7 separate regions of the Mus musculus genome follow, and regions 2, 3, 4, 5, 6 and 7 are each reported to be linked to region 1. The links are microRNA targets in miRTarBase. Many come from high-throughput screens and were not tested one by one. Region 1 holds a microRNA gene; each other region holds the end of a gene's coding sequence.
Evidence for each region. Region 1 holds the annotated microRNA mmu-miR-669f-3p (CAUAUACAUACACACACACGUAU, at 2,021-2,043, shown strand). A microRNA usually pairs through its seed, bases 2 to 8, with sites in the 3' UTR of a target mRNA and lowers its output. Matches are read on the target gene's strand: a 7mer-m8 pairs with bases 2 to 8, a 7mer-A1 pairs with bases 2 to 7 and ends in A, and an 8mer does both.

Region 1 (4,000 bases):
TTTTAGAGATGCTGCAGTACTGGGCCACCAAGGATATGCATGTGTGTATAGTTGTGTGCATATTCATTTTTCTATATGAATATGCATATACACGCATGCACACACACTCACAGGAATGGCCAGAGCTATGTCTCAGGTAGGAGGTGAATATTCTTGCCAGTGTCAGGAGGCTACAGAGTTCAAATTCATGCTTAACTTCATGAAGAGTTAGAGATCAGCATGAGATTCATGTGATGCCCACCAAGAAAGTGCATGTGTGCATAGTTGTGTGCATATTCACTTCTCTATGTGAATATGCATATGCACGCATGCACACACGAATGGCACTCATATATCCTTTTGAATGATATGTGACTCAGAGCTTTAGAGCTTATGCAGTACCAGGTCAGAGCTATGTCTCAGTTAGGAGGTGAAATCCCTTGCCAGAGTCAGGAGGTCCTGGAGTTCAAATTCATGTTTAACTTCATGATGAGTTAGAGATCAGCATGCGATTCATGTGATGCCCACCAAAAATGTGCATGTGTGTATAGTTGTGTGCATATTCATTTCTCTATATGAATATGCATATACACACATGTACACACATGTACACACCCACACCCACCCACCCACACACACCACTTAGAGTAATGGCATCATATATCCTTTTGAATAATATGTGACTCAGAGCTTTAGAGCTTATGCAGTACTGGGCCAGTGTGTTGTTTCACTCGTTAGCTGAATACTTTTGCCACAGTCAGTATGTTTCAGAGTTCAAATTCATGGTTAAATTCATGATGAGTTAGAGATCAGCCTGGGATTCATGTCATGCCCCCCATGTATGTGCATGTGTTTATACTTGTGTGTGCATGTACATGTGTGCATATCAATATATGTACACATACACATACAGACGCACACACATACATGCAGGAATGTCACTTGTCAATCCATTTGAATGATATGTGACGTAGAGCTTTGGAGATTATGTAGTATTGAGTGAGGGTGAGGCTTCAAATACCAGGCTAAAATCCTTGCCAGAGTCAGGAGGATCAGGAGTTGAAATTCATGCTTAACTTCATCAAGAGTTAGGGATCAGCCTGTATCATGTGATGCAGCTTATGTATATACGTGTGTGTTCATGTGCATGTGTGTATAATATAAATATAAATATACATACACACTAACATAGACATGCACGCGTGGAAAAACACACATGAATGGCACTTATCAATCCATTTGTATGATATGTAAATTAGATCTTTCAATACTATGTAATACTGGGCCAGTGAGACATCTCACTCACTAAGTAAAAACGCTTGCCAGAGTCAGGAGAATAAAGAGTTCAAATTCATAATTAACTTCATGAAGATTTAGAAATCATCCTGGGATTTATGTGATGGCCCCTATGTATGTGCCTGTGTGTGTTCTTGTGTGTGCATGTGCATGTGTGTATATGAATATACATATACATACACACATACACACGCACGTACACACACACAAACACACACATACAGGAATGGCACTTATCAATCCATTTGAATGGTATGTGACTTAGAGTTTTAGAGATTATGCAATAGGGGACAGTGAATGTTCTCACTCACCAGGTGTAAACGATTGACAGAGTCAGGAGGATCAGAAGTTCAAATTCATGCTTACCTTCAGTTAGAGATCATCCTGGTATTCATATGTATGTGCATGTGTGTTTACGTGTGTGTGCATGTGCATGTGTGTATATGAATATACATACACATACACACACACATACACACACATGCAACACACACATATGAATGACACTCACTGATCACTTTTAATGATATGTGACTTATAGTTTTAGAGATTATACAGTACTGGGCCAGTGAATGGTCTCACTCAGAAGGTGAAAATGCTTGCCAGAATCAGGAGAATCAGGAATTCAAATTCATGCTCAACTTCCTGAGAATTTAGAGATTAGTCTGTGATTCATGTGATGCCCCCCATGTATGTGCCTGTGTGTATAGTTGTGTGTGCATGTGCATGTGTGTATATGAATATACATATACATACACACACACGTATAAACGCAAGCACAAACACACACAGAGGAATGGCACTCGTTGATCCATTTGAATGATATGTGACTTAGAGCTTTAGAGATTATGTAGTATTGGGCCACTGAAACTTTTCATTCACCAGGGAAGGCTTGCCAGAGCATCAGTATCCAGAGTTCAAAATCATGCTTAACTTCATAATGAGTTAAAGATCAGCCTGGGATTCATGGGCTGTACCCTATATATGGGCAGGTGTGTGTCTTGTGTGTGCATGTTCATTTGTGTATATGAATATGAATATACACACACTTACACACTCATGCACACACACACACATCCATTTGAATGATATGTGTCTTAGAGCTTGAGAGTTTAGGCAGGACAGTGCCAGGGAGAGATCTCACTCACCAGGTAACAATGTTTGCCATACTCAGGAGGATTAGGAGATGAAATTCATGCTTAATTTCATGATGAGTTAGACATCAGCCTAGAATTCATGGGATGTCCCCCATGAATGTATGTGCATGTGTATATAGTTTTGTGTGCATGTGCATGTGTGTCTATTAATGTACATATACATACACACAAACATATACACGCATGCGCAGATACAGACACAGAAATGGCTTTCATCGATCCATTTGTATAATATGTAAATTTACTGGGCCAGTGAGACATCTCACTCACCAGGCAAAAACATTTCTCACAGTCAGGAGAATCAGGAGTTCAAATTCATAATAACTTCATGATGAGTTAGAGATCAGCCTTGTGTTAATGTGATGACCCCTATGTATGTGCATGTGTGTATATTTATGTGTGCATGAAAATGTATGTATATATGAATATACATATACATACATACCCACACAAACATGCACACACACACAAACACACCCACAATTGCCACTTACCAATCCATGTGAATGATATGCAACCTAGAGGTTAGAGATTGAGTATTCCTTTGCCCAAAAGAGCTCTCTCTCTCTCACCAGGTGAAAATGCTTGCAGAGTAAGGAAGAACAGCAGTAAAAATTTATGCTTAATTTCATGATGAGTTAGAGATCAGCCCGGGATTTGTGTGTTGCTTGCTCTATATGTGTGTATACTTGTGTGTGCATGTATATGTGTGTATATGAATATACATATACATACACACCCATATACACACGCATGCATGCACACACACAAATACATATACACAGGAATGGCACTCATCGATCCATTTGAATGATATGTGACTTAGAGTCTTATAGATTATGCAGTAGTGTGTCAATGAACGGTCTCACTCACCAGGTGAAAATGGTTGACAGAGTCAGGAGGATCAGGAGTTCAAATTCATGATTAACTTCAGTTAGAGATCATCCTGGCATTCATGTGATGCCACCCATGTATGTGAATGTGTGTTTACGTGTGTGTGCATGTGCATGTGTGTATATGAATATATGTATACATACACACACACATACACACTCATGTAACACACACACACACACACACACGAATGGCACTCATTTATCCATTTGAATGATATGTGACGTAGAACTATAGAGATTATGTAGTACTGGGCCAGTGAGTGCTCTCACTTTCTAGTTGAAAATGCTTGCCAGAATCAGGAGAATCAGGAGTTCAAATTCATGCTTACATTCATGAGGATTTAGAGATCAAACTGTGAATCATGTTTTGCCCCCCATGTTTGTGCATGTGCGTATAGTTGTGTGTGCATGTATATGTGTGTATATGAATATACATATACATACACACCCATATATACACGCATTCATATGAACACATCAACACACACGCAGGAATGGTATTCATCGATTTATTTTATTGATATGTGATTTAGAGCTTTAGAAATTATGTAGTACTGGGCCAATGAAACTTTTTACTCACCAGATATAAACGATTGGTATAGTCAGAAAGATCTGGAGTTCAAATTCATGCTTAACTTCATAATGAGTTAGAGATCAGCCTGGTATTCCTGG
Region 2 (4,080 bases), not on the chromosome of region 1:
CTTATTGCAAGGCACCTCAGGGCCCCTCCCCCACCCGCCCTCCACATCCCAACGGATGTTTGCAGCTCTTACCCTCACCAGTTGTGTCTTAAGGCAGCAAGAAACTATGTGGCTACAGACATTTGTTCTCCCATAGCCCCATCCATGAGTCTTCTGGGAAGGGAGAGTGGTTTAGGCTGAAAGTGACCCCTCTGTCCTTCTGGACAGGGGGACAGTGGTGGGCCTCTCATGTGCAGAGACAACGTCGACAGCCCCTTTGTGGTCGTGGGGATCACGAGCTGGGGGGTAGGCTGTGCCCGTGCTAAGCGTCCCGGAGTCTACACAGCCACCTGGGACTACCTGGACTGGATTGCTTCCAAGATCGGCCCTAACGCCTTGCACTTGATTCAGCCAGCCACCCCTCATCCGCCGACTACCCGCCATCCGATGGTCTCTTTTCACCCTCCTTCTCTTCGCCCTCCTTGGTATTTCCAACACCTGCCTTCTCGACCGCTTTACCTGCGACCACTACGGCCTCTGCTCCATCGGCCGTCTTCGACCCAAACCTCCTCATCACTCATGCCCCTCCTCTCGCCCCCAACCCCAGCCCAGCCTGCATCCTTTACCATTGCTACACAACACATGAGGCACCGCACAACGCTGTCTTTTGCTCGGCGTCTCCAGCGCCTCATAGAGGCCCTGAAGATGAGAACTTACCCTATGAAACATCCCTCCCAGTACAGTGGACCAAGGAACTACCACTACCGCTTCTCCACGTTTGAGCCCCTTTCCAACAAACCCAGCGAGCCCTTCCTCCATTCCTGAGAAAAGAGAGATGAGTGAAATAAAGTATATATTTGTATATAAATATATATGTACACTCGAGGACATGAACTTCTGTTTTCTTCAACTCAACCCAAATCTTCCTCCATCAAATTTACATCCTCCCTGCTCAGCTCCAATAAAATGGAATTGCTCAATATATATTTTTTTTAAATGTTGAAATTTAATGCTTGAATAAGCAAACTTGGGCCATAGGCCAACCATGGTCCTTACTTCATACTTTATTGATACTGCAAGGTGTTAAATGCCTCTGTATATGTAGCTAGCGGGTGGAGTGAGAGAGCTCATTCTACCAACTAAACTGATCAGAAAAGGAGGGGGTGGGATCCCCCTAAGTGGCGGTTCTCTTGATGCTGTCATGAGATTGGCACAAAGAGATGCCTCTGTGTGAAAGGCCTGGATCCTCAGAAAACAAGGGATGGCCAGGGTGCTTGGCAGCCACAAGAAGTGTCTGCCACCACATAAATAGTCTTACTGTGGCTGATCACACATTACCTGCTCAGGGTTATTACTGGCCTGTAGCTAAATCTACTAGTTCTGGGACTTAAGCCCATATGAACTTATTTGCTAAAGCTTTCCAGGAATAATAGTGGGGGAAGGAGTGTTTTATGGATGCACCTGAGTGTGGAATGGCTTTTTACAATCATTAGATGTTTAAGAATATCCATTGTGGGGATGGCTCAGTGGTTAAGAACACTGGCTGCTCTTCCACAGGTCCTGAGTTCAATTCCCAGCAACCACATGGTGGCTCACAACCATCTGTAATGGGATCTGATGTCGTCTTCTGGTGTGTTTGACGAGAGCAGCAGTGTATACACATACATAAAATAAGCAAATGAATTGTAAAAAAAAAAAAAAGTTCATTGTAAGGAACAGAAACCAGTTTGAACCTTTTTAATGACACAAAGCTATGCGGGGCCAATAGGAATGGGTCAGAAGCGAACGCTTCAAGGAGCAGCGAGCCCAGCAAGGCATGGAAACGGTCTGAAGCTTCCTCAGAATGGCTCTGGGCACTCAGTCCAGCTTGTCAGACTTGGCCCACACTGCTTGAGACTGGGGTCAGTCCTCAGCCTGACCACATTTGTTTGCTTAGTCCTGAGAAGGATGCTCTGACGGGCTCGGTTTGACGCTCTGTTTTGCTGTTCATTCCGGTCAAGAAAGTAACTCAAGTCTGGTGTCTGGATTAAACCACTTGTGTTTATCAAAGATGGTAGGGCAGAGAGAGGCAACCCTTCCTGAAATCAAAATGTACTTAAGGATGCGTTCCGTTCTCAAAGGTTGTCCTTTACTTTCCAGCTGTGCTGCTTTGGATTTGTAGGCCTGGAAGGCCTCTGACCACTCAGAGAGGCACCAGGATCCCTTTGTGTTAGGGATTAAAAAAAAAAAAAAACCAGCAGGACTTCGGCATCAACCCAGCTTGATTTGGCAATGGCTATTCACCTGTGTACAGAAGTAACACTTTTCACCTTACTGGCTTACTTTGGATTGCGTGGTCCCTTGCTTGGAACCCCAGACCTATTTCTAAAAGCCTGGCACCCAATGTGAGAGACTCTCTGCAACCAAAGGTCCTGGGAACGTGCACACCTGTTGTCTCATGGCTGAGGTTCTGGATATGGACAAATATATCTCAGGCTCCTGAACTAACAGAACCCCAATTCTGAAAATGAATCAGCAGTGTTGAGATAAGGGCATCGAATGAGCATAGCAGCAACTAGGTAACTCCCAAGCACAAACCAAGGCAAGAAAATTGAGCTATGGCATACTGATGTGGTTGGGTAAGTGAGTCACTGAGATGTCCATCCTTGGAAGTGGAAAACAAAAGGTCCAGGGGGGACAACACATGAAACCAGTACAGGGGGTGAGGGGGAGGTGAGAGGTGGTGTAACTCCCAGGAGGACTTGGGAAGGGAGGAATGGAGATCCTTTGATGTTCCCCATTTAGTCCATGAGGATGAAATTTGAGGTTCTGGGAAGACAACTTCTGAACCAAGAGAAGAAGAAGAAGAAGAAGAAAAAAAAACAACAGGGAAACGCAACTTGGAAGTATGAATAATGCTTTGGTGGGCGGGATGTCTGGAAGGGCGATTTGAGTGCGATTGAAATGTTCAATCCGATGAGAAGCGAGTGTAGACTCCAGACCTGCAGTTCCGATGGTATATAGGCTCCACACCAACTGCAGTAGTTAAAGGGCCTCAGCTGGTCCTCAAGGGTTATCACCATAGAAACAGAGAGGAGTTTGAGCCTCTCTCATCAAGACATCACCGTTGTAAGGATGGGGAACCAGGCTCTGTCTTTGGGTAAGCAAAAGGATAAAAGATCTGAGACCAATAAAAGTAATCTGTGTCCTAAGGCACATGCTACAGTATAGGGTGGAGGTGGTCAAAAGGGAAAAGAAAACCCATTAAGGCTGTGTGTCTTAGGGTTTCTATTGCTGCGATGGAACACCATGACCAAAGGCAATGGGTAGCAAAGGGTTTATTTTAGCTTCTAATTCTCAGGTTGATATTTCATCATTGAGGGACTCAGAGCAGGGCAGGATCTTGGAGGCAGGAACTGAATCGGAGTCCATGGAGGAGTGTTGCTTACTGGCTTTGCACCTCATGGCTTGCTCAGTCTGCTTTCTTAGATCAACCAGGACCACCTGCCCAGGGATGGCATCAGCCACAGTGAGCTGGGTTCTTCTACACCAATCATTAAGACAATAGCCTATAGGTTTACCTCTAGGCTAATCTTACATAATCTAGGTGTTTCTCAAGATTCTCTCTTCTCAGTAATGAGCAGAGTTGTGTCAGGTTGACAACCAGCATACTGGGTGTCTGAGCTTATAGACTATATTGATGATGAGAGGCGAAGAGTGTGGAGGAGATGATTATGATCCTTGCTGGAGAAGAGACCCCGGACCCTCTTTTCCCTGATACAACAGCAACAGAGTAAACGAGAGAAAAGAGAGCCACCTTCTAAGGGGGGGGGTTCCTCTGGGTCACTTCTCTGTCTCTGTGCTGGGAGCCCCAGTTCTGAACTGTCAGCTCAAATTCCAGTTCTTTTGTATACCCCAGTCTCTAGTCTAAGAATGAACCTTGAACAATGGCAGAAGGATATCCAAAATCCTCCCTTGTCCACAGAGGAGTCCCCTTAGTGGATGTTCCCATCCAGGGACGGTCTCCATTTGTCAACATCCCCCTTTCCAGTTCAGAGGCCTTCAATTACACAGGGGGCTAAGGCCTTTGAGAAAACACCTGTATGTGACATTTGGTTTATG
Region 3 (4,080 bases), not on the chromosome of region 1:
TGGAAGACCAGGGTGAGGAGGGAGCACCTGAGGCCCAGGAACCATCGGCTACTCAGAGTTCTCTGATAGAGGTAGAACTTGAAGACGCGCCATTTCCACAGAATGCAGGACAGAAGAGCCAGTCAGAGGAACAGTCTGAAGCGTCCTCTGAGCACCTGGAACAGTTTACACAGTCAGCAGAGAAAGCTGTGGATAGCAGCTCAGAGGAGATTGAAGTGGAAGTTCCTGTAGTAGACAGGCGCAATCTGAGAAGAAAGGCCAAAGGGCATAAGGGCCCTGGCAAGAAGAAAGCCAAGCTGACCTGAATGAAGGAGCAATGCAGTTCACACATCCTCCTTGTTGTTATTGTTGTTGTTTTAAACTGCAGTAATTAATAAACAGCATGGGGCACAGGACAGATTCTAAACCTTCCACTGGAACTTATTTACACATGCAGGTTTTCTCTTTCCTTTAGAACAAGGATTCGCTGTTCTTTTTCATTTTTCAGGCTATTTTCTCTAAGTAACTTTCGTTTATGAACCATGTGTCAATTTTGGAATTCCAGGTCATATTCTTCTTCAGCAGGTGGAGCATCTAATCATTAATATTTTAAAAATACAACTTAAAAAGAACTATTAGACTTTGATCATAGGAATCTTTTATACTAAGGGTTTTAATGGTAAAATTTGGTAAGGATTCTCAAAGTTTTATCTTAGTATCAAAACAATCTCCATCTTTTAGGTGTAAGCATACCTAAACAAAAGGAGTCAGTTAATTAAATATAGTATCAAGTTAGAGAACAAAAAATAGAAATTTATGATCAGTGGTTTATGAAGATGGTTTTTGTTTTTATTTCTTAATGTTAGTTGTAGATGGAGTTCAAGTCTGTGAGAAGTACTTTAGGCTGCATATCTGGTGTTAGTACTGTTAAAGATATAACTGTGGTGTGTGGGTACATAATTTAAATTTTAAATTTAATACTTCCACATGAAGTATTAGTTTGCTATAATTTTTTTCTCTATATATTTTCAGATGCTGAAAACCTTGAGTACACTTTTATCTTTTAAACACCTCAAGTAATTGAAGTTAATATATAGTTGAATTTGGACTGTCGTCCTGATCACAGATAGTGCAGAAGTGTAGGCCCCTCCCCAAGCCTCCTTAATTCTTCACTGCTGTCTCACTGTGACTCTTCTATCAACAGACCTCCACCCAGCTTGCCTGTTATGCCCTGTATCCATATTTGGATAGGTCTAGAACTCAATCCAAACACCTTTAGTCCTAGATGGAAGGAATAAAGCTGCCCAGTGAGATGTACAAATGCCTAGATTCTGACTCTGCGGTCCCTTTGGGTCTTGTATACTTTAAGACAGGGTTTCTCTGTGTAGCATTGACTATCCTGTAAACCAGGCAGACCTCCAGCTCAGATCTGCCTCTTCCTGCTGAGTGTTGAGATTAAAGACATGCAGCACTACCACCTGGCTATTTGATATTTTAGAAATATTTAAAAAAAATGACAATTGGTTTTTAAATGGTTATTAGAATTCATAGAAAATTGGTCAGTGGCACTTGGGGAATACCACATACTTTGATTTGTATTTCAGTTAGAGACTATTTTGAGACCAATTAGAATTGTTTTTGAAACAGCTTGAACCTTGTGAGAGAAATGTTGAGAAATTGAGTCATGAAGTACTTGTGAGTTTATGCTCAGTCATTTCAGTCTTTGGTCAGCTGATTGGTGATTTCATGTCTTACATTTTAATTTAGGGATGTTGGTATTTTAGAAAAGTCTGATTAATTAGTTAAGACCTTAAAGCAGCAAACCAAATAGCAAACCCTTGAAGTTAGAACACTTGCACTTACCTGTTGTTTTAATTTTGGCTAGATGTTAGATAATTTCATTCTAAGTGAAAATTATACTTTGACCATTTTTTTTTTTTTTTTTGGTAAAAGCTGTTATAAAATAGATTTGACTAATTAGTAAATTTGCCAAATGCTGATGCTGTTTTACACGTTTAGAGAAATTTGTTAATATCTCAACCAGGGATAGCATTTGAAAGGCATGTTAAGATTCAGAAATTGATTTTTAACACACATTTAAAGTTTTCTGGATATGTTGTTTTGGTATTTTGTTTTGGCTCCTGTTCCCCTTCCATTACTTTTTTAAATGAGTGTTTTAGTAGATTGCACTCACTGGCAGCTCAATGTATGAATAGTCTCTAGAGTTAAAGAAAAATTTTCACATACCACACTGGGTACTAGCAGTATAAACTTATATACTTCCTAAACTTGTTTGATAAAGATGGGATTCAAACATTTTGCTCTGCATACAAGAAAACTTGTTACCTTGTTGTCTGTGACAGAAGTTAAAGTTTGTATAGATCATAGAGGAAAAGTTAGGTCACAGGAAAAAATCTTTCATATTCAGTAACATGTTTATATAAAATTTGTAATAATTTATGTTCAGTAGGGAATCTAAACAAATGTAGCAAGGCATGAGGACTGCAGAGATTTCAAGCAGCTGTTTGAGTGCTCTGTCCCGTTGTGTAGTCTCCTGTGAACTGGTACTTTCTGTTTCGGAGTCATGAATGTGGAGAAGGAAGCTCCCTTCTGGTGTATATACATATATATTTCCTTATGTAACATAGCAGAAGTGTACTACCAGAAGTTTAGTTCTACTTTCAAACTTAAACTGTTAGACCACACAAAAATTTATTTAAGAATTTTATTGTAAAGCTCCTTTAAAACTTTTAAAGAGATTCTATTATGATTTTTTAAAATAAAATCAAATGGCATGACTTAGAATGTCAGTCTTCTCTGTGTGTTCACATTCTTCCACTTTGTGTCTACTTTCCTTTTACCGTTGATTTGCAGAGGCTAAGGAGGACTTCTAGTCACTAATGGTCTACTTTGAACAGGTGACCAGTGTAGTGTTACCTAGTGGTTTGTGACTTTAGTAGACCTTTAAGCCCTTCTACCAACTAAACATCTCTGAAGTTGCTTCTCCTTTGGAATTACCTAAGCTGTGGTCACACCAGCAAACTGAAACAGATTTTGATGTAAATAAGGAATTTGTACTAATACTACTCATGTAACTATTTGAAGAGAGCAGCTTTTGCTTTGATGTCCATTTGCAATCTGGTGGTTCTGGGCGTGGTCTGTTACAGAAGTCATGCTTGTTTTAATACTTCCTCCCATGACTTTTTAGTATACGACAGTTTGCTAGTTTCAATCCTAAAAAAAAAAATAAGCAAATGTACTTCAGCAATAGCCACTGATCACCTGGAGTCAGGCTTCCTTTCACCGTAACTCAGGCAGATAAATACACATTGCCCGTTCTGATTGGTAGACAATGTTAAAATCTAATTATAAGAAAGTGAAGTCACTCTGCCTTTCCTGGTCAGTCCTTTCCAAGGAACTAGGCCCGCCTTTTCCTTTAATATCTTTGTATGTTCTAAAAACTTTAAAAAAAATATTCAGAATACCAAGTCTTATGGAGAACTTATGGTTTGTTTCTTTGCTAGGGTTTTTTTTTCCCCCTTAATGTTTAAAATAGTAATTAAACTTGTGTTTTGTGATTGTTTTCTAGTCTTGTGTTTTAAATTTCCTTTCCTCTGAGTTGCATTCATGAAGATGTGCTTAGATATTAGACATTGAATGATTCTGTTAAAGGCACAGCTAATCACACTGCCTGTATTATGAAAGTAGATTTAAAAAATAAACAATTTAAAGCAATATGGTGATTACAGATTAATATACAGACACTCTTAAGAACGTGGATTTAAGTTATAACCCCAAATCATGACCTTTCAATCTAATTAATTGCCACATCTCAAGTCACTGGTACATGGTGGAGAATTATCTAACCCAATTGTTCACATTGTTGTAGCAGTAGTGAGCGAGCTCCCTATTTTTAGAATATAGGAAATGGAGGAAGTACACTGGAGGTCACTGCAGTACTATATAAGGTATTAGTTATGAGTGAAAGCACTGAATTGTGCACTCTTTTCATCTAATTTACCTTCTCTATGACTTTTAATCTACTTGTTTATGAATTTAAACACTACCATGTGTTTAAAATGTTCCACATTTTAGGATTAA
Region 4 (4,080 bases), not on the chromosome of region 1:
GCTTGGCTTCTTAGTAACCTTAATAACTTACGGGATGCTATAAGAAAAATAATTTCAGCCATGTTTCTGGATAAAATTTTATTCTTGGCAATAATGAAGAAATTCCTAAGATTAAACAGGACTGGAGGAGTGGCTCAGTGCTCAAGAGCAGTGTCTGCTTTTTCAGAGGACCTGCATTTGGTTCCAGGCTCCCACATCAGCTGACTTACAGCTGAGAGAGAGAAAGAGAGAGAGAGAGATAAAATCTTAAAAGACAAAGTCCAAGAAAGAGACAAGTGACTGACTTTGTGCTTCTCTTTATAGACACCCCGGACATCGGATCTACTAAGGGTGACAGGTGAGCAAAATGAGTTTCATTTATCGCTGGTGCTTTGCTGGTAAACTGTCTCCAGGGCACACAACAGTGGGCCTGATCGCTGATCCTTCCTCTTCTTTCTTGCACACATGCAGTGCTGCTAACAGAAGGGGACCAAGCAAAGATGACACATACTGGAAGGAGATCAATGCAGCCATGGCCTTAACAAACCTTGCCCAAGGAAAAGATGAAGTGCAGGGGACGACCACCAGTTGCATCATCCAGAAGTCTTCCCACATAGCAGAAGTAAAGACAGTCAAGCTGCCACTGGTGCAGCGCTTCTAGAGTGGCCAGGAAGTGCTGAGCTGTCAGTGGGTTGTTTGTTTGTTTGTGTTTGTTTTTACCTAAATCCTCATCCTAAGAGCCAAAGCAGAGGTGAAGAGGACTCCCTTAAAACTCCTGAGTTCAACTATCGTAAATATATCAGTTGCTTCTATAAAAAGACATATAAGTTATAAAAACTCATTTTAATCAAAAATATTAACTTATTTTTATGTTACTGAAACTATGCATAAAGTATCTGCATTACCATTACAGTAAGTGCCTTGCTCCCTGAGGTAAGCCCCAACGTGGGCACAGTGAAGAGCTGTGCCTCAAACCATCAATGCCAACACTTGCTAGACTGCATCATTCCCACTGGTCCAGGACAGAAGCCAATCGCCGAAAGCCCATGAAACAATTTCATTCATTCACATGTTCAAACTTGGAAATCTGTTCAGCCCAGATGAGGTGATCTTTTCTTTCTTTTTTCTTTCCTTTTCTTTTTCTTTTTCTCTTTCTTTTTCTTTCCTCTTTCTTTTTTTTTTTTCTTTTCCTTAACTTCCGGTGTGATGGTGAGAATTTTATGTGTGGGTTTTGTTTGCATATCAGTTAGTGCATCCAAAATGAAAGGTGCTGCAGGACCACATGATGCATACACTTAAGAAGAGATGCTTTCAAACTACTTTAATATTGTAATGCAGTCAAGGATTGTTTTCCCAAGCACTGCTGGAAAGTATCCCAATGCCCTTTACAACTAATTGGGATTTTTTTTCCCTGAAGCTTTAAAAAGAGTCTTATTATATAAATCTTTGAAATTTTTTCCTGTGTAAAGCTAAACCTAAAGTTTAGTTTTAAATCATAATCTTGTTTGCATTAGAGCTCAGGGTTCCTGTGTGATGGAAGCCGCTTTCATGTGGAGTGAGTAAAAGCTTTTTATTTGGTTCATTTCAAATCCCAATTCAGATGGACAATTTGTATTGCAATGAGAACAAGACAACGAAGAAAAAATCTGTGTGTGTATATACATATACATGCAGAAAAATTGATTTCTTAAAAATTTAAAATGTACGGGTAGCAAAATATGTTCATGTAGCATAGACTGTTTAGTCTCTGATTTTTGCCAGATAGGACATTCAAATAGAAATTAAGTGAAGTCTTGCATTAAAAGAAAGAAAGTCTTGTTTCTAAATGTCACTACCACAGAGTGAGAGCAATCGCTATCAAGAAAGAAAAGTCTTTTCCATCAAGCATTAACATCCTCCCCTGCCTGGGAAGACTGCAAACCAGAGGAATGTGGAGATGCCCAGTAGAAAAGGAAATCTGGAGATGGCCTATAAAACAGAGCAAACGTTCAACAGCAAAGTAAAAAAGACTAGGCTATCGGGGGAATTTTTTTCTGGTTATGTAATGTATTTTCTAATTGTTTTAGGCTGGAAAGCATTTTTGCAAGTGTGAATGACATCTGGTTTCACAGCACATGCTGACGTTTTTTTCTTTATTTTACAAAATGCTTTTAATGCCAAAGTTAATCTGGTTGCTGAGCAGACATGACGGCCTTGATGGCCCTCGTAGGACACTTTCTCCTGTATCATAGCATAGTGGGGTGGGGGTTATCTAGTGTAATGAAGATAATTTGATATGAAAATATTTTGTACGTATATTTTTACTTTGTTTTCTCAAGTGCTGTTGGCAGTTGCAGTTGCCCTAGGTGAGATGTGTCAGTGCTGACTGTATGAATGGATGAAGTATTGGGTTCTTCTCGTGCAGCCAGCCAAGTGGGGATCACTACAAGACAAGCCTGCCCAGATGTGCATGAGGCAGTGAGAAGCAAGAACGAATACTTCACTCTTTCTCATACTATTATAAGTTATTCTGGTATTAAATATTTTAATAAAAGTGTTCTTGTTTTAACATATTGTGATTAGATAAGTGAACTTTGGGTTGTATTTTATTTGAAATTGTCATGTTTTACATTTTTCTATCCTTTGGGGGGGGAAATCAGCTAATTTGTTCTGTATTATGAACACAAACCAATGACAGGATACTCTCCACATAATTTCTTTAAAATACCAAAGCTTGGAGTCTGGCCTATACACACATGAAAAATAGGTAATTAGCATATCCTGAGCAATGTCTCCAATTAGAATCATTTTATTATTTTTCTGTGTTACTGTTGTTTTATCTGGAAATCAGAGCCCCCCTGACCCTTAAAAGCACCTTGAGCAATGCCAAGCCAGCAGCTGAGAGCTCGGCTGACATGTAATTTATATTGAAGAGAAAGAGACTCACTCTTATTTTACAGTTGTATTTTAATAAAATTAAAGTCTGTCAAGAGTTCTTGACAGATTTAAAATAAAAGTTCATTTCTAGACTTCAGTGATCATATGGGATTTGTTTGCCTTTGAAAGCTGGCCAGGGCGAGGGAGCAGGAGACAGGAACAGCCTCGCATGTGGCTCATGGATTGGGAGTGCTATAGTTGGACCAAATTTGAATTCTATCACTTTAAGCCACTAACCCACCTGTTAAGACCCAAGGACAAGAACACAACACAGACTGTTCAAATACTGGGTTGTACTAAATTCTTTTTCCATAAATAATACAATAACCATTCCTCTTCCATATTTGCATATTCATGGATTCTAATTGCCTTAAAAAGAAACTTTTATCAGCATACCAAGTCATGGGTATTGTCATGACATTTCCATACTTCCATATCTTTAAGCTTTGTTCATATAGATCCCCTATCCATTACCGTTGTGTTCTGTACAGGGGAGGAGCTTAGCTTGGGAGTCAGCAGAACCGCACTGCAGTGCTGACTCTGCACCCTATCCACACACAACTGCGAGATTTAGACTCAGTCTTTAGGTGTTGTGCACACAGAGTATGAGGAATGAGCAAGACATTGCACTCTGAGGGATTGAAACAGTAGATGATACACAGAATGCAGGAGCCAGCAAGATGGAACAGTAGAAAAGAACATTTGCTGTGAAGCCTGACAGCAAATTTTGCTCTCCAGAACCCATGTGGTACAAAGAATCAGCTCCAGTCAGCTGTCCTCCGATCTCCACACTCAGAGTAAAATAAGTGTAAAAAACGTAAAATGCCTACTACAGTGGCTGAAAAATAGATGATCAATAAATGAAAAATGCTATCACATACTGTAATTTGTTCCATGTGATATGTATATAGGAGCTAAAAGTGTAGGTGGAATAGGGATTGGAGACAAAAACACCTTTACAGAAATCTTGACTTTTGACTTGAAAGACTTCAGTGGAGAAGTTAGCTCCAGAGTTAAAGCGTGGAAGGTGATATGTTCATTACTATCACTGGAAACTTCTACAGCAAAGCATGAAGTAGGGCAGAGAGAGGGAAAGCAAGCACACCCACCAAAGATAGTGAGCTTGGTGGTGTCCCTTACCAGATGACAAGAACTGCTTTTGCTCCTGTCCCCTCTTCACACTGC
Region 5 (4,080 bases), not on the chromosome of region 1:
GCCCAGGGCAGCTCTGTACTCCTTCAAGGCTGCCCGGGCTCTGCTGGACCACAGAAAGGTGGAATCTAGCCCAGCCAGCCTGGCCATCTGTGAGAAGGCCAGTGGGTACCTGCGGGACAGCTTAGCCTCTACACCAACTGGCAGTTCCATTGACAAGGTGAGGGGTAGGGTGGGTTCCTGTCTAGGCCAGGGTCACAGCTGTCCATTTCCAGGTTCTTGGTGTTAGTACAGAATAATGCTAAATGGATTTACCTCAGTTTTAACGACGGCTTAAGTCTTGGGGAGAGGGGGCTTTACTGTTTCGCCACCACCAGGAAGGAGGGTGTGGGGAGCAGACTGGCAGGGTTCCTGTTGGGAGCCATTGTTGGGAAGACTGCGGGCTTGTAGCAGGAGGCGGTGCATGTGTTGAGGCAGATGCAGTGCTTCAGTGATGCAACCTGGAGTCAGGCCCCAGTGCTGTGGACTTCCTGCCCTTACTGACGCTGCCTTGAGACAGGGTGGCCCTCAGCTAGGGAAAGCTTGATGTCCATAGGGAAACTCCTCCCTCTGCCCTGCCTGCTATCCCAGGCCATGCAGCTGCTCCTGTGTGATCTACTTCTTGTGGCCCGTACCAGTCTGTGGCAGCGGCAGCAGTCACCAGCTTCAGTCCAGGTAGCTCACGGTACCAGCAATGGACCCCAGGCCTCTGCTCTGGAGCTGCGTGGTTTCCAACATGACCTGAGCAGCCTGCGGCGGTTGGCACAGAGCTTCCGGCCTGCTATGAGGAGGGTGAGTCCCACTGTTCTCACACTGAGGGGCATGAGGTAGGAAGCCGGGAGTGGGGGGACAGTAAATCTGAAACGGGTGACTACTCCTTGCCTCTCAGGTATTCCTACATGAGGCCACAGCTCGGCTGATGGCAGGAGCAAGTCCTGCCCGGACACACCAGCTCCTGGATCGCAGTCTGAGGAGGAGGGCAGGTTCCAGTGGCAAAGGAGGTGAGGAGGTGGCTGTGCTTACAGGGCTGGTGAGGGTCAGGGGCCGTCTTGGTCTAGTGAGACATACTGAGAGCTGACTTACAGAAATCAGCGGGGATGACAGTTTTTGAGGCAGTCATAGGAAAGAAGCTGAGCCCCCCTGTGTGCCCAGCCCAAGTGGAGAAAGCAGCCAGACTGGGAGTTCCACGTGGAAGAGCTCAGCTACTTTGTCCTGCACATGGGGTGTGGGCTCGGCCAGACCTAAGCCTCCCTCCCTTTGATGTGATCTGTGCAGGCACTACAGCTGAGCTGGAGCCACGGCCCACATGGCGGGAGCACACCGAGGCCCTGCTGTTGGCATCCTGCTATCTGCCCCCTGCCTTCCTGTCGGCTCCTGGGCAGCGAATGAGCATGCTGGCCGAGGCGGCACGCACCGTAGAGAAGCTTGGCGATCACCGGCTACTGCTGGACTGCCAGCAGATGCTCCTGCGCCTGGGCGGCGGAACCACCGTCACTTCCAGCTAGACCCCAAAGCTTTCCCTTGAGGACCTTTGTCATTGGCTGTGGTCTTCCAGAGGGTGAGCCTGACAAGCAATCAGGACCATGCCGACCTCTAGTGGCAGATCTGGAAATTGCAGAGGCTGCACTGGCCCGATGGCACCCTCTTGCTCTGTAGGCACCTTAGTGGCTTTTCCCTAGCTGAGGCTCACCCTGGGAGACCTGTACATAGTGTAGATCCGGCTGGGCCTGGCTCCAGGGCAGGCCCATGTACTACTTTGACTTTTGCAAACTTTATTTTCATAGGTTGAGAAATTTTGTACAGAATATTAAAAAATGAAATTATTTATAACTTCAGTTTTGTTTATCTGGGTAGGCAGATGTCTGCCTCAGCTGATTGCTATCTTTCCTGGCTTGTCCTTTGGGAAGCCGGACTTCCCATCTGTTGTAAGGTGTATTTGCTGGCTTGGTGATGCTATGTTGAGCCACCTTGGCCCTCTGATCTCATGGCTCATAACCCTTGAGGGGCCTTGATGGTCTCAGTTGTTCCTTTGCCTTCCAGCCCTCCACCAGGTAATAACCCCGTATATCCAGAAACACACACAGTTCCCTAGTCATCTCTGTGCACCAGCATAGGCGAAGGATCAGGGCCCATTAGTGAGTAGACTGGGAACCCTGTTTGTGTCCCCCGGCCCCTTCCCTCTACTCCCAACCCCTTAGGGAATCTGGTCGGCATCCACAGGCCGCACACTTCCAAAACAATCGTGGTATCTTTATTGACTTTTTTTTTTCTGAATGCAATGACTGTTTTTTTTTTTTTTAACTCTTAAGGAAAATAAACATCTTTTAGAAACAGCTCGATACACACAATCTTCAGTGTGAAGCAATATACTAATAAGAACACTAGTTGTCTTAACATTTACAGTCTTCATATATATTATATATATGTATATGTATACATATATATACACTATATAACGAGGCCAGATATAATACACACGTTTACCATTTTACAGTCATATGTACAGAACGTTGCAGGGAGAAGGGGCTGCATCAGGCCTATTAAAGCGTGGACAGAGCTGAGGACACAAACGGACAGGTGGGGGCTGGCCGTGGTGGTGGTGATGGTGGTAGTTGCTCGGGGAAGGGGCATCACTTTGGCCCCGACCCCAGCCAAGGCCAGGTTAGGGCTCTGTGCTGTGGAGCACACGACGCACAGCAGCGACACACAGAAGCGAGCATGTTCCCAACATATATACATTCTATGTAACATATATATAGAGGGGTACACAGGTTTGTACACGAATCTAGCACTGTCTCCGCCTATGAGCCGAGTGAGCTGAGTGGCAGTCCCTGAATCCCATGTTGGTGTTTTGTCTGGGACAGCTGCACATCTGCTAGAGGGTAGCCAGGCCCAGTCTCCTCAGGCTTCCAGACGGGGCTCCAACAGTGGGGTGGAAGACTGGAAAGGGGACAAACAGAAGCCATAGGGCGCCACCCCAGGCCAGCCCGCATCAAGGATAGACTGGCCTGAGCCCAGGCTGCCACGATCTTGGGCAGATCCATGCCAAGTGCTGAGCCATGTCCCCCGCCGCTGGGCCTCTAAGAAAGGCTTGGGTCTGCCCCACGTCGTCCACTGAGCCAGCAGCCTAGCCTCTTCCCAGGGGCACAGCTTGCATGCCACGTCTTTTTCAGAACTTGCAGGGGACTTGCCCCCCGCCTGAGACATTGTGCCCTGGGTCTGGCCACTCCCTGGCCTGCCTTCGCCAAGCCTGGCCCCGGTTTTCTTCGCAACCTAGGCCTCACGCCAGCGCCCAAGGCAGCCGGAACCTAGACCCTGGATGGGATCAAGGACCGGCTGTGGGCGCAGCTCTTCTTCCTCGGAGTTTCGGCCACACGGGGATTACAACGGCAGCCTCTGTGGGAGGGACAGCCCGTTACTGTTATCACCAGCCGCTGCCACCCCTGTCCTTCCACAAGAACTGTGCAATCACCCTAGACTGGCAAAGTAACTTTAGGACCCAGCCTGCACCCCTCCCTACTCTCTGGCAGGGCAGGGAGAAACTGGGTTAGGTAGGGAATGCTTTCTCTGGGGAGCCTGCTCACCTACCTTATGTTTGGGGCACTTCAAAGTAAAATTCTCCTCAATGAACGTGCAACCTGTGAGCAAAGAAAAGTTTCTGTGGTGATGCAGAGCCGGCTGGCTGCCAGTGTTAGTTCTGATGCCCTGGTCTTGCTCAGAACCCTCATTAGTCCAAATCCCCCCAGAGGTGCAGCCCCTCTGCCTCTACCCTGCTATGTCCCTTCCTGGCCTCCACTCCTAGACACCCCCCCTGCCCCACCCCCACCCTGGCCACCACTACCTGGCCATCTCCCTCCTACCCAGGTCTCCCCAAAGGAGAAGGAACACTCATTCTCAGACATGCCCACTCCTGACCCAACCTCCTGCACAGTGGCCAGGAGAGGTCCATGCTCAGAAAGCACCCCATGATTGCTTGGGTGACTGACAACTGCAGAGTGGAGTCTCAGGTCTTGACTGAAATGTCAGCTACAGAATCTCAGCCTCTATATTGTAGATCAATCACAATGTCACCTACTGTGTGCTCTCATGATCCTTCTTCACGTT
Region 6 (4,080 bases), not on the chromosome of region 1:
ATGAATATGATTTGGGCTAAAATGTTTTATTTTTGTGGTTAGTGGCATTGTATTTATTTTTGAAACACGATTCTACAGGTGTATTATTAACATGTGTAGTTTAGGCTCTGTGCTAAAAGCCACCCACAGTTATCCAAGTTACTTTGCCAGTTTTTGATTTTTGTTTTTAAAGGTTTGAGTACACATTGTTGTCCTCAGACACACCAGAAGAGGGCATCAGATCCCATTACAGATGGTTGTTAGCCACCATGTGGTTGCCTGTAATTGAACTCAGGACCTCTGGAAGAGCAGTCAGCGCTCTTAACCACTGAACTATCTTTCCAGCCCACTTTGCCATTTTTTTGTTGGCAGGATTTTACAATAAGAATAAAAATACCTTTTCTCCTGAAAAGTGATTTTATAGCTATTGCTTCAATAAAGGCATTGACTTTAAAAAAAAAAAAAGAAAATCTGAGCAGACAGTTGCTGAGACATTGGAGGCTGGGGACGGGGGCTGGGGGGAGTATTTGTGCAAAAAACATTAACTATTGTTTCTTCCTCAGAATTCCATCATCCCTGGTCCCCCTTTCCTCTTTGGAGCCTGTTCGGTACTGCTGGCTCTGCTCGTTGCCTTGTTTATTCCGGAACACACTAATTTAAGTTTAAGGTCCAGCAGTTGGAGGAAGCACTGTGGCAGTCACAGCCATCCTCACAGTACACAAGCGCCAGGAGAGGCCAAAGAACCTTTACTCCAGGACACGAATGTGTGACGGAAATCAGGAAGACTTCTCTCTCTCGCAGCACCCAGGTCTTAGTTTTCACCTGTAGCTCTGGATGTACATTCCATTTCCATCTGCAGTGTACTTTAAGACTGTCTTAAGAAATACTTGCATGAACTCCGTGGGAACTAAAGAAAGAACCGGACAGTTTTCCAAAGATGTTACACTTTCTTTCAAAAAGAAACCTTTTGTTTATATTAGCACCACTCTCTTGCCACTAAACTGTTTTATTACACATCTTTAATTAAAGCTCTATCTGTAACTCCGTCTCTGCCATTTCCTTAGGTGTTGAGCCTTTACCTGCTCGTGCTGACTCAGCGACACTAGGCAGGATGGTTATGGACCTGTTTGCTTTAACCTTGTAAAACCTGAGTCATTGTAAAATCTTGGGTCAAATAATTCAAAGCCTTAATGCAGATGCACTAGAAAAGAAATGGTAAAGAATTGTTTGCATTTAAAAGAACTTGTGAAAATTGTAGAAAACCAGAATCATGTTTCAAGCTTGTTTGCCATAATTTTATTTAAAGCATTATTCACGGCTGTTCTGAAGAATGAAAAGATCAGCCACTTAGAATTCAAATTGGGGTGGTCAGAGCCTAGCCATCTGGCTCAATCTGTTTAAATCTGTTCTGCTTCTTATACCACTATTCTTTTGATATTTGCATAATCATAAGGACCTCAACACTTGAATACATAATCTAAAAATTATATAGTAAAGCTGGTAGCCTTGAAAATGTCAATGTGATATCTATATGTAGATAAATATATATAGTGGCCTTTCAGGACTGTCACAGTAACACTTTATTTACAGAGCTAATGTTTGTCCTAAATTTTCAGGACCCTAGAAGAGAGCTTTATACAATTACTGATGTGAATTTCTCTAAAGTGTATATTTTTGTGTCCAGTTATATTATTTAAAAAAGTGTTACTTTGTAAAAATGTACATAAAGTATTGTATAGTTTACACTGTTTTCATCTTGTGTGTGGTTACTGCCTAATGCTTTTTAAACTTGGAGCATTCACTATGATTAAATAAGGTCTCAAATGTAAATATTCTGTTAATAAAATTAAATATTTTAATGATTTTTTTCTTTTTAAAAAGGTCTTGATCTGTGAGTCCCTCCCTGTAAGGCCGGTTTAGGCTTTGTTACAGTAACAAATCCTCTTACCTTAACTTACCTTCTGCAATCCATTTGCTGCCCTCACCTCACCTCACCAAAAACAAAACAAAAAGCCTGAAGATAAAAATAACGAAGTGTGTAGGTCAACCGGAAATGCTTGATTTCCTAAGCACAGTTAGTCTTTTATTTCCTAAACATGCTTCTTGCATATAAAACGCTCAAGCCTCAGTGCTTTATTGACAAAGGTCACAGCTTTCAGAAATAGCAAAAAGCAACATTCTGATGGTTAACACATGTACAGTTATACAACACAAAACAATTTCAGACAAAAGCAGAAGAGGTAGAGCAGAGAGTTGGCGCTATCTGTGTGTGTGGACACTTAGCACAGAGACAGGTCACCAACACCCTGCGTGGAAATGAGCTGTCCTATCGTGGAAACAGGTTTATAAATAGTAAGGGGAGGGTATCTCTTCTAAAAAGCTATATATGTCTTGTATCCCTTTCCAAAGGCTGCCATAGCTCTTAGGTTTATTCTATAGTATTTACAACAGTCCTGTGCTGCATAGAGAGACTTCTTTCCAGAATAAGTGCTTTCAAGTAGTTATAGCAATATTCTTCCCATCACTGAACTGTGATAACAGCCCTCGTTGAAGACAGCTAGCAATAGCCATCATCCTGAAAGTGAGGCTAAAGATTCTACGTCACTGTCTCAAAATGTCTGCAACAGTGTAAAGTACTTGAAAAAAAATGTGTATAAATGTTTTGCCTAGAAACCACATGCATGCCTGATGCACTCTGGGTGACAAAATTGTGAGCTGTCATGTGGGTGCTGGGATTAGAACCCACATCCTCTGAAAAGAGTAGCTAGTGCCGATCATCACTAAGCCATCTCTTCAGCCCCTTGAAACTTAAAATATCACATGATTGTTAACATTTTACAGATAAGATTTTTGGGGTCTTGGAATTTTAATTTCCTTTGGGTGGTTGTCAACAAGAAAACAAAATTAGACCTCTAAGATTATAGAGGGTTGTTTTTGGTTTTTTGTTTCATTTTGTTTTTTAAAACTACTTAATTTCAAAGGAATAGTTCTTGGAAGTTTTTAATAGTGAGGAAGTTGTAATTTCCAATAGTTAACTCTCCTCCTGCTTTATTAACACTGATGACAAATTTTAATATTATAAAAAGTCCCATGAACTTTTATGGTGTTATTACACTGATGATCTTTATGGAATGCCCAGATGACTAAAGCACTTCAGTCATGTAAATACACTGTCCCAATGATTTTTATATAAAAATTATTTCAGAGAAAATGATTTACTCACTATGAATACTTAATTTCACTCAAAATCCTTAAGAGTGTCACTAGGTACATCAACCAAACTCCAAATGCCCATACCCAGGACTTGACTAGCACAAGGTCGAATACACTGTTTTGGGTTTGATTTTTTTTTTGGGGGGGGGGAAGGGGGTTCGAGACAGGGTCTCTCTGTACAGCCCTGGCTGTCCTGGAACTCACTCTGTAGACCAGGCTGGCCTCCAACTCAGAAATCCGCCTGCCTCTGCCTCCCGAGTGCTGGGATTAAAGGCGTGCGCCACCACTGCCCGGCTGGTTTGATATTTTTATCTTACTGATTGGTTATTTTTATTTTCTTTTTTAAGGGAGAAAGAACATAAAATTGGGTGGGTAGGAAACTGGAGACCATCTGGGAGGAGAAATTATAAACCAAATATATTGTGTAACTCAGGCTTGGTGGGTACACAGCTTTAGTCCTAGGTCTTGGGACACAGAGGCAGGTGGATCTGGGTTTGAGGCCAGCCTGGTCTACATACATAGCCAGTTCCAGGACAGCTTGAACTACATAATAATAGACCCTGTCTCAAAAAAAAAAAAAAAAAAAAAACTTTGAAAGTTGTATGAGAACTGAATGTAAAGTCAATGTAAGGCTCAATGGTCACAGGTGGAAGCTCTCCCAGCTCTCAGGTGGCAGATTAAGATTTTTTTTTTTTTACAATAAAAATGATCGAATGAATCACAAGTCTTCAGTTTATATTCCCTGCAGGTGTATCTTGATAAAGTGTCCCTAAGCAGACCAACTGGTAAGAATCTGATACAATCCAGTGACTTTTTGAAACATTCTGTTTTGTTCACAGAAAAAAAAATACCATTTACTCAGCATCCTTATCAATTTCCTAAATTTGT
Region 7 (4,080 bases), not on the chromosome of region 1:
CAATTCCCAGCAACCACATGGTGGCTCACAACTATCTGTAATGGGATCTGATGCCCGTTTCTGGTGTGTCTGAAGACAGCTACAGTGCACTCATATGTACAATAAATAAATCTTTTTCTAAAAAAATCTCAAATTACTCAAATTTAGAAGCTGAAAGAATTTTTGAAACTGATAAAATGTGCACAAACCCTCTAGACCTACATCTTATTTAGAGGAAGAAAAAAAAAACCAAACCTGGCATTAAGGTCTCGCGTAAGGAGGCTTTGTTCATTTTTCATTCCGATAAAGCAGCGGTCCGTAACCTTACCAGTGTTGCAACCCTTTTATGCAGTTCCTCACGTTGTAGTAACCCCCAATCATAAAATTGTTCTTGTTGCTGCTTCATGAGTGTAATTTTGCTACTGTTGTGAATCATAATGCAAATATCCGATCTGCAGGATATTTAAGATATGACTTCATGAAAGGGTCATTCAACCCCAAAGAGGTCACGACCCACAGGTTGAAAACCACTGAGATAAAGTAACACTTGGGGCTCTGGTTAAAAGGCATGAAGCAATTAAGGAAAAAAAAAAGTTAGGGACAGAAGTGCGGAAGCATGCTGCCAAACTTTCTGACCTAACAACTGTGCAGTCATTTTTCCAGTCACAAACTGGTAGGCGGGAGATAGCATAACTAGTAAGATGCTAATTGGCAAATAGGTTGTACGCAGTAAAGAGGTGGAGCGGATTTATATATTCGTGCTAGCGGCAGTCTTTAGGGATGACATCAATCATTTTCAGAAGGCTTGGTCAGGATAACGCTGCTGGCCACCGGCTCCCTGCATCCATGCCTGTGTACAGCAGAACCGTAGGCCAGCGGCGATCCTCATATTTGCCAGAAGGTGGCGCTCGGCCTCCACGGCGCGACCAGCTGCAGTTAGAAGTCCCCTCCAAAGGAGCCACTTTCCCCCAGGCTGAGGCTGATTAGAAGTCATTCACGTGTCGCTGGTTGTCCAGCGACCCTACAGGTGCTCCGAAGGGGCCTGCAGTTCCGATGGCACAATTGTACTTCAGGGTCAAATCCCCAAAGCCATCCGAGGGGAGAATGAGATCCGGCAGACGTGAAGCTGAGGACAGGCAGGGTTGGGGCAGCAACTTGTTCTCTCATACTTCTCTCCCGCTTTGTGTGCGTGTGTGTGTGTGTGCGTGTGTGTGTGGCGGGGCAGAAGGGTGAGGGTGGGTGGGATGGCAGAGCGCACCTGGGTTGGCCCGGTGTGCATGCAGGGGCTATAGTAGGCAACAGGTGACTAGTGTATTGGGCGGCTGCCAAGGGCTCTCGCTCGCGCAGTCTCCAACCCAGGTGTAATGGGCAAAGCGTGCATCCCGGGTATATTCATTAGGGACAACCCCGCCCTGCAGGAAGGAGGCGGGGACCACCGGAACCGAAGCTGCCCCTCCTCCATTCACCAGGATGGATTCGGTGTCAGGGGAGAGGAAACACCGCAGCCAAGGCAGACTAGCAGGCGCCACCCAAACACCTGCTTGGCCTAGAAAGTGGCACCAGGTGCGACTCACATACTCGTACCTCTTGTCCCATCCTTTCTCTAGGCTGTGCCTGTCTTCCCTGGACTACTTTCCAGAACCACCCCTTCCCAACCAAGTCACTTGCAACTTGGGAACTAAATCTAAGCACCTATTGAATGCATATTCAAATTAGCGGCCCGGTGTCCTCAAGGCTCTGAGTTGGATGGAAATGTTGGTGATACCTTTTTTTTTGGTGAGTGGGAGGGGCTTTTCTCGCACCTTCCCTCCGTTCCTTGAGGTCCAGAGTGCAGTCAAGGGTGAAGAGCACTTAATAGCCACAGAACTGGGAGAGCAGCTGGCCCAGGCAGGCCTGGGTGAGCCACAGGTGGAGGAGACGAAGGACTTCTGGAGTTCGTGGCCAGGTTTAAAAGCGTAACCCCCAGGGGTGACCAGTGACAGCCAAAGCCCCTTTTCTCTCTGCTCCAAAGGTGTCTTTCTAGAGGGCACACCTAGGAACTCAAGGGGAGTCTTCTACAGTCCCGTTTAAAATCTAGTCCCAATGCACAGGCACAGAGCCACACTGCTAGGTGTGTTGCGTTTCCAGTCCCCATCCCTCCTAATGGCAACAATGTTTCAGTCTACTGGGCCGCCACGGGACACACATGTGATAGAGGGGGTGAGAGAACAGAAGGAGGTGCCCCAAGCAAACACAAGACACCTCAAAAACCATTCAGAATCCCGGCATTGATGTCAGACACATTTTATTATAATCTTAATACAGTCTACATAAATTTGAACTGGTATTTATTTGGGTTCAGTTATAACATAGCATAAAAAAAATCAAAGCACTGGTTGTCTGAAATAAAGCAAGCAATCAACATTCAATAAACACACTTGATTTATTTTGTATAAAAGGGTTAAGTTTACAACTAAACTTTTATAAAAAGTTTAGCATAAGTACGTCATTACATTTTAATGCAGAAATAGGTTATTTCTGCCACTATACAAGAAAACTCTAATTAAAGAGTCCACAAGGTTCACTCAATATATATATATTTATATATAAATATATACACAGCATTCAGTAGGCTCGTGTCAAAAAGGCCATTTCTGACCGAAGACTTCATTTAAGTAACCGAATACTGGGTCCTTCTGGTATTCACGCTCCACCTTTGTGAAAAGGCAAAGTCTGCTTACATTGGGCAATTCCTTGTGATTTTTTTCTTTTTTTTTTAACGTTTTCGCTCCCCATGGTGGGAATAGTATATAAAGAAAACCTTCCAACTGTAGAAAGGGCACTGAAAGTCTCTCATAAATAACGGTATCACAGTCCAGGCCGGAGAACGACACCTGGGCAAGACGATCATCCTTAGTTTTCCTTCCGCTTTCTTTTTAAAAAGGTCCATTCAACGTGTTCTCCTGGTGAAATGGCTGATAACAAAAGTCTTAAAAGATCTTGTAGACTTCTTCTTGTGCAAAAGAAAAAGAGAAAGTAAAAAGAAAAAAAAAAGTCCCCAAATGCCTGCAAAAGATTGGGAGAGAAAGGCAGTTTAGGAGAATGTAACCTAAGGGCAGAGGCGGGCGAGCCTGGCGCCGAGGAAGCCACAGTTTGAGCATTTAACCAAACCCTGGCGTCCAGATGCGGCACACATACCCGGCCCCAGCAGCACAAATTAAACATGAAAATAGCGGAGACTCCAGGGGAAAACTTCCCAAACCCAGTCTCCTATTTGGATCTCTAACAGCCCGCTCACAGGCGCCAGTCTGCTTCTTGTAACAATTATTTGATTGAAAACAGCCCTTTAGTTAACAGATATGGAAATCTGGATCCCAGAGCACAGGGGTAAGGCTCGGGGTAGCCGTCTTCAGCTAGCCAGAGAAATCTCAGAGGACTACAGTTTTGGGAAAAGAGAATCACTATGGAATTTGTGGCGATAAGATTAATTACAGCTGAGGTTACCACCTCAGTGTACCGCCACTGGGCTCATAAAAGTCAGCCACACTTGGTCCTGACACCTTCATAGTAAGTTACTGGCATTTCTTTTCTTTCTTTTTTTTCTTTCTTTTCTGTTTTTGTAAAGGCAACTGTTCTGTAGTCCTGAGCAACCACAGCTACAAGCCCCTTCATGCCTATGTGGTAAGTCAAGCGGCACCCGTAACACAGTGAAGTAAGCATGCATTTACCAAACCAAACATTTAACAGACACACAAGCACATTACCGAAACGCGCACACAGGAGGCACCCGCAACACTCACCATTTATTTAGCCACAGAGTACTTTGCTATCATTCGACATAAGCTCAGAAGGGAATTCAGATGCCTGGGGAGAAAGAGGATAAAAGGCAGGATATTAGGTAATCTTAAAGGAAGGTAGCCCCCCTCCTCCTTTCACAAAAGTGCCAACAAGTCCCATGAAACAGGATCATGCTACAGCGCAGATCCAGATGCAACCCACACAGAACTTATAAGTAGCGATTTCACATGACGCTCAATATACAGTTTCCTCAAAAATAAAGTTAATGAACCTGTCTCTACGATGGGCTTTAAGAGTGACAGCTCGGGAGACCCGGAGCGTCTG

Region 2: miRTarBase lists Acr as a target of mmu-miR-669f-3p. Seed matches in the 3' UTR shown: 7mer-A1 at 829-835 and 8mer at 838-845.
Region 3: miRTarBase lists Fam169a as a target of mmu-miR-669f-3p. Seed matches in the 3' UTR shown: 8mer at 2,594-2,601.
Region 4: miRTarBase lists Mkx as a target of mmu-miR-669f-3p. Seed matches in the 3' UTR shown: 8mer at 1,633-1,640.
Region 5: the mRNA of Rai1 is a reported target of mmu-miR-669f-3p. Seed matches in the 3' UTR shown: 8mer at 2,707-2,714 and 8mer at 2,417-2,424.
Region 6: miRTarBase lists Mfsd14a as a target of mmu-miR-669f-3p. Seed matches in the 3' UTR shown: 7mer-m8 at 1,645-1,651.
Region 7: the mRNA of Id2 is a reported target of mmu-miR-669f-3p. Seed matches in the 3' UTR shown: 8mer at 2,570-2,577.

What each region holds. Positions count from the first base shown.
Region 1 is chr2:10,465,265-10,469,264 of GRCm38, forward strand. It overlaps Mir669f (microRNA 669f), which reads left to right and starts at 1,965; the gene lies at 1,965-2,085. The region is part of intron 10 of Sfmbt2 (Scm-like with four mbt domains 2); the gene reads left to right. It overlaps Mir466m (microRNA 466m), which reads left to right and starts at 1,399; the gene lies at 1,399-1,482. It overlaps Mir466f-1 (microRNA 466f-1), which reads left to right and starts at 1,680; the gene lies at 1,680-1,773. It also overlaps Mir669e, Mir669b, Mir669d, Mir466f-2 and Mir669l.
Region 2 is chr15:89,573,625-89,577,704 of GRCm38, forward strand. Acr (acrosin prepropeptide) reads left to right here. Exons shown (of 5, transcript NM_013455.3): 5 at 208-961. The coding sequence ends at 804. Among named protein-coding and RNA genes, the nearest start is that of Acr, 7.3 kb to the left of the region's middle.
Region 3 is chr13:97,126,734-97,130,813 of GRCm38, forward strand. Fam169a (family with sequence similarity 169, member A) reads left to right here. Exons shown (of 13, transcript NM_001100458.1): 13 at 1-2,789. The coding sequence ends at 305. It overlaps Nsa2 (NSA2 ribosome biogenesis homolog), which reads right to left. Exons shown (of 6, transcript NM_021552.5): 6 at 2,694-4,080. Among named protein-coding and RNA genes, the nearest start is that of Nsa2, 9.2 kb to the right of the region's middle.
Region 4 is chr18:6,933,425-6,937,504 of GRCm38, reverse strand. Mkx (mohawk homeobox) reads left to right here. Exons shown (of 7, transcript NM_177595.4): 6 at 304-337; 7 at 451-2,539. The coding sequence ends at 640. Among named protein-coding and RNA genes, the nearest start is that of Mkx, 69 kb to the left of the region's middle.
Region 5 is chr11:60,197,323-60,201,402 of GRCm38, reverse strand. Rai1 (retinoic acid induced 1) reads right to left here. Exons shown (of 6, transcript NM_009021.2): 5 at 3,565-3,614; 6 at 2,208-3,372. The coding sequence ends at 3,358. It overlaps Srebf1 (sterol regulatory element binding transcription factor 1), which reads left to right. Exons shown (of 19, transcript NM_011480.4): 16 at 1-157; 17 at 568-768; 18 at 866-977; 19 at 1,252-2,319. The coding sequence ends at 1,481. It overlaps Mir6921 (microRNA 6921), which reads left to right and starts at 786; the gene lies at 786-865.
Region 6 is chr3:116,628,943-116,633,022 of GRCm38, reverse strand. It overlaps Mfsd14a (major facilitator superfamily domain containing 14A), which reads left to right. Exons shown (of 12, transcript NM_008246.2): 12 at 543-1,859. The coding sequence ends at 749. Sass6 (SAS-6 centriolar assembly protein) reads right to left here. Exons shown (of 17, transcript NM_028349.3): 17 at 2,037-4,080. Among named protein-coding and RNA genes, the nearest start is that of Trmt13, 16 kb to the right of the region's middle.
Region 7 is chr12:25,091,553-25,095,632 of GRCm38, forward strand. It overlaps Id2 (inhibitor of DNA binding 2), which reads right to left. Exons shown (of 3, transcript NM_010496.3): 2 at 3,759-3,822; 3 at 2,247-3,024. The coding sequence ends at 3,766. Among named protein-coding and RNA genes, the nearest start is that of Id2, 2.5 kb to the right of the region's middle.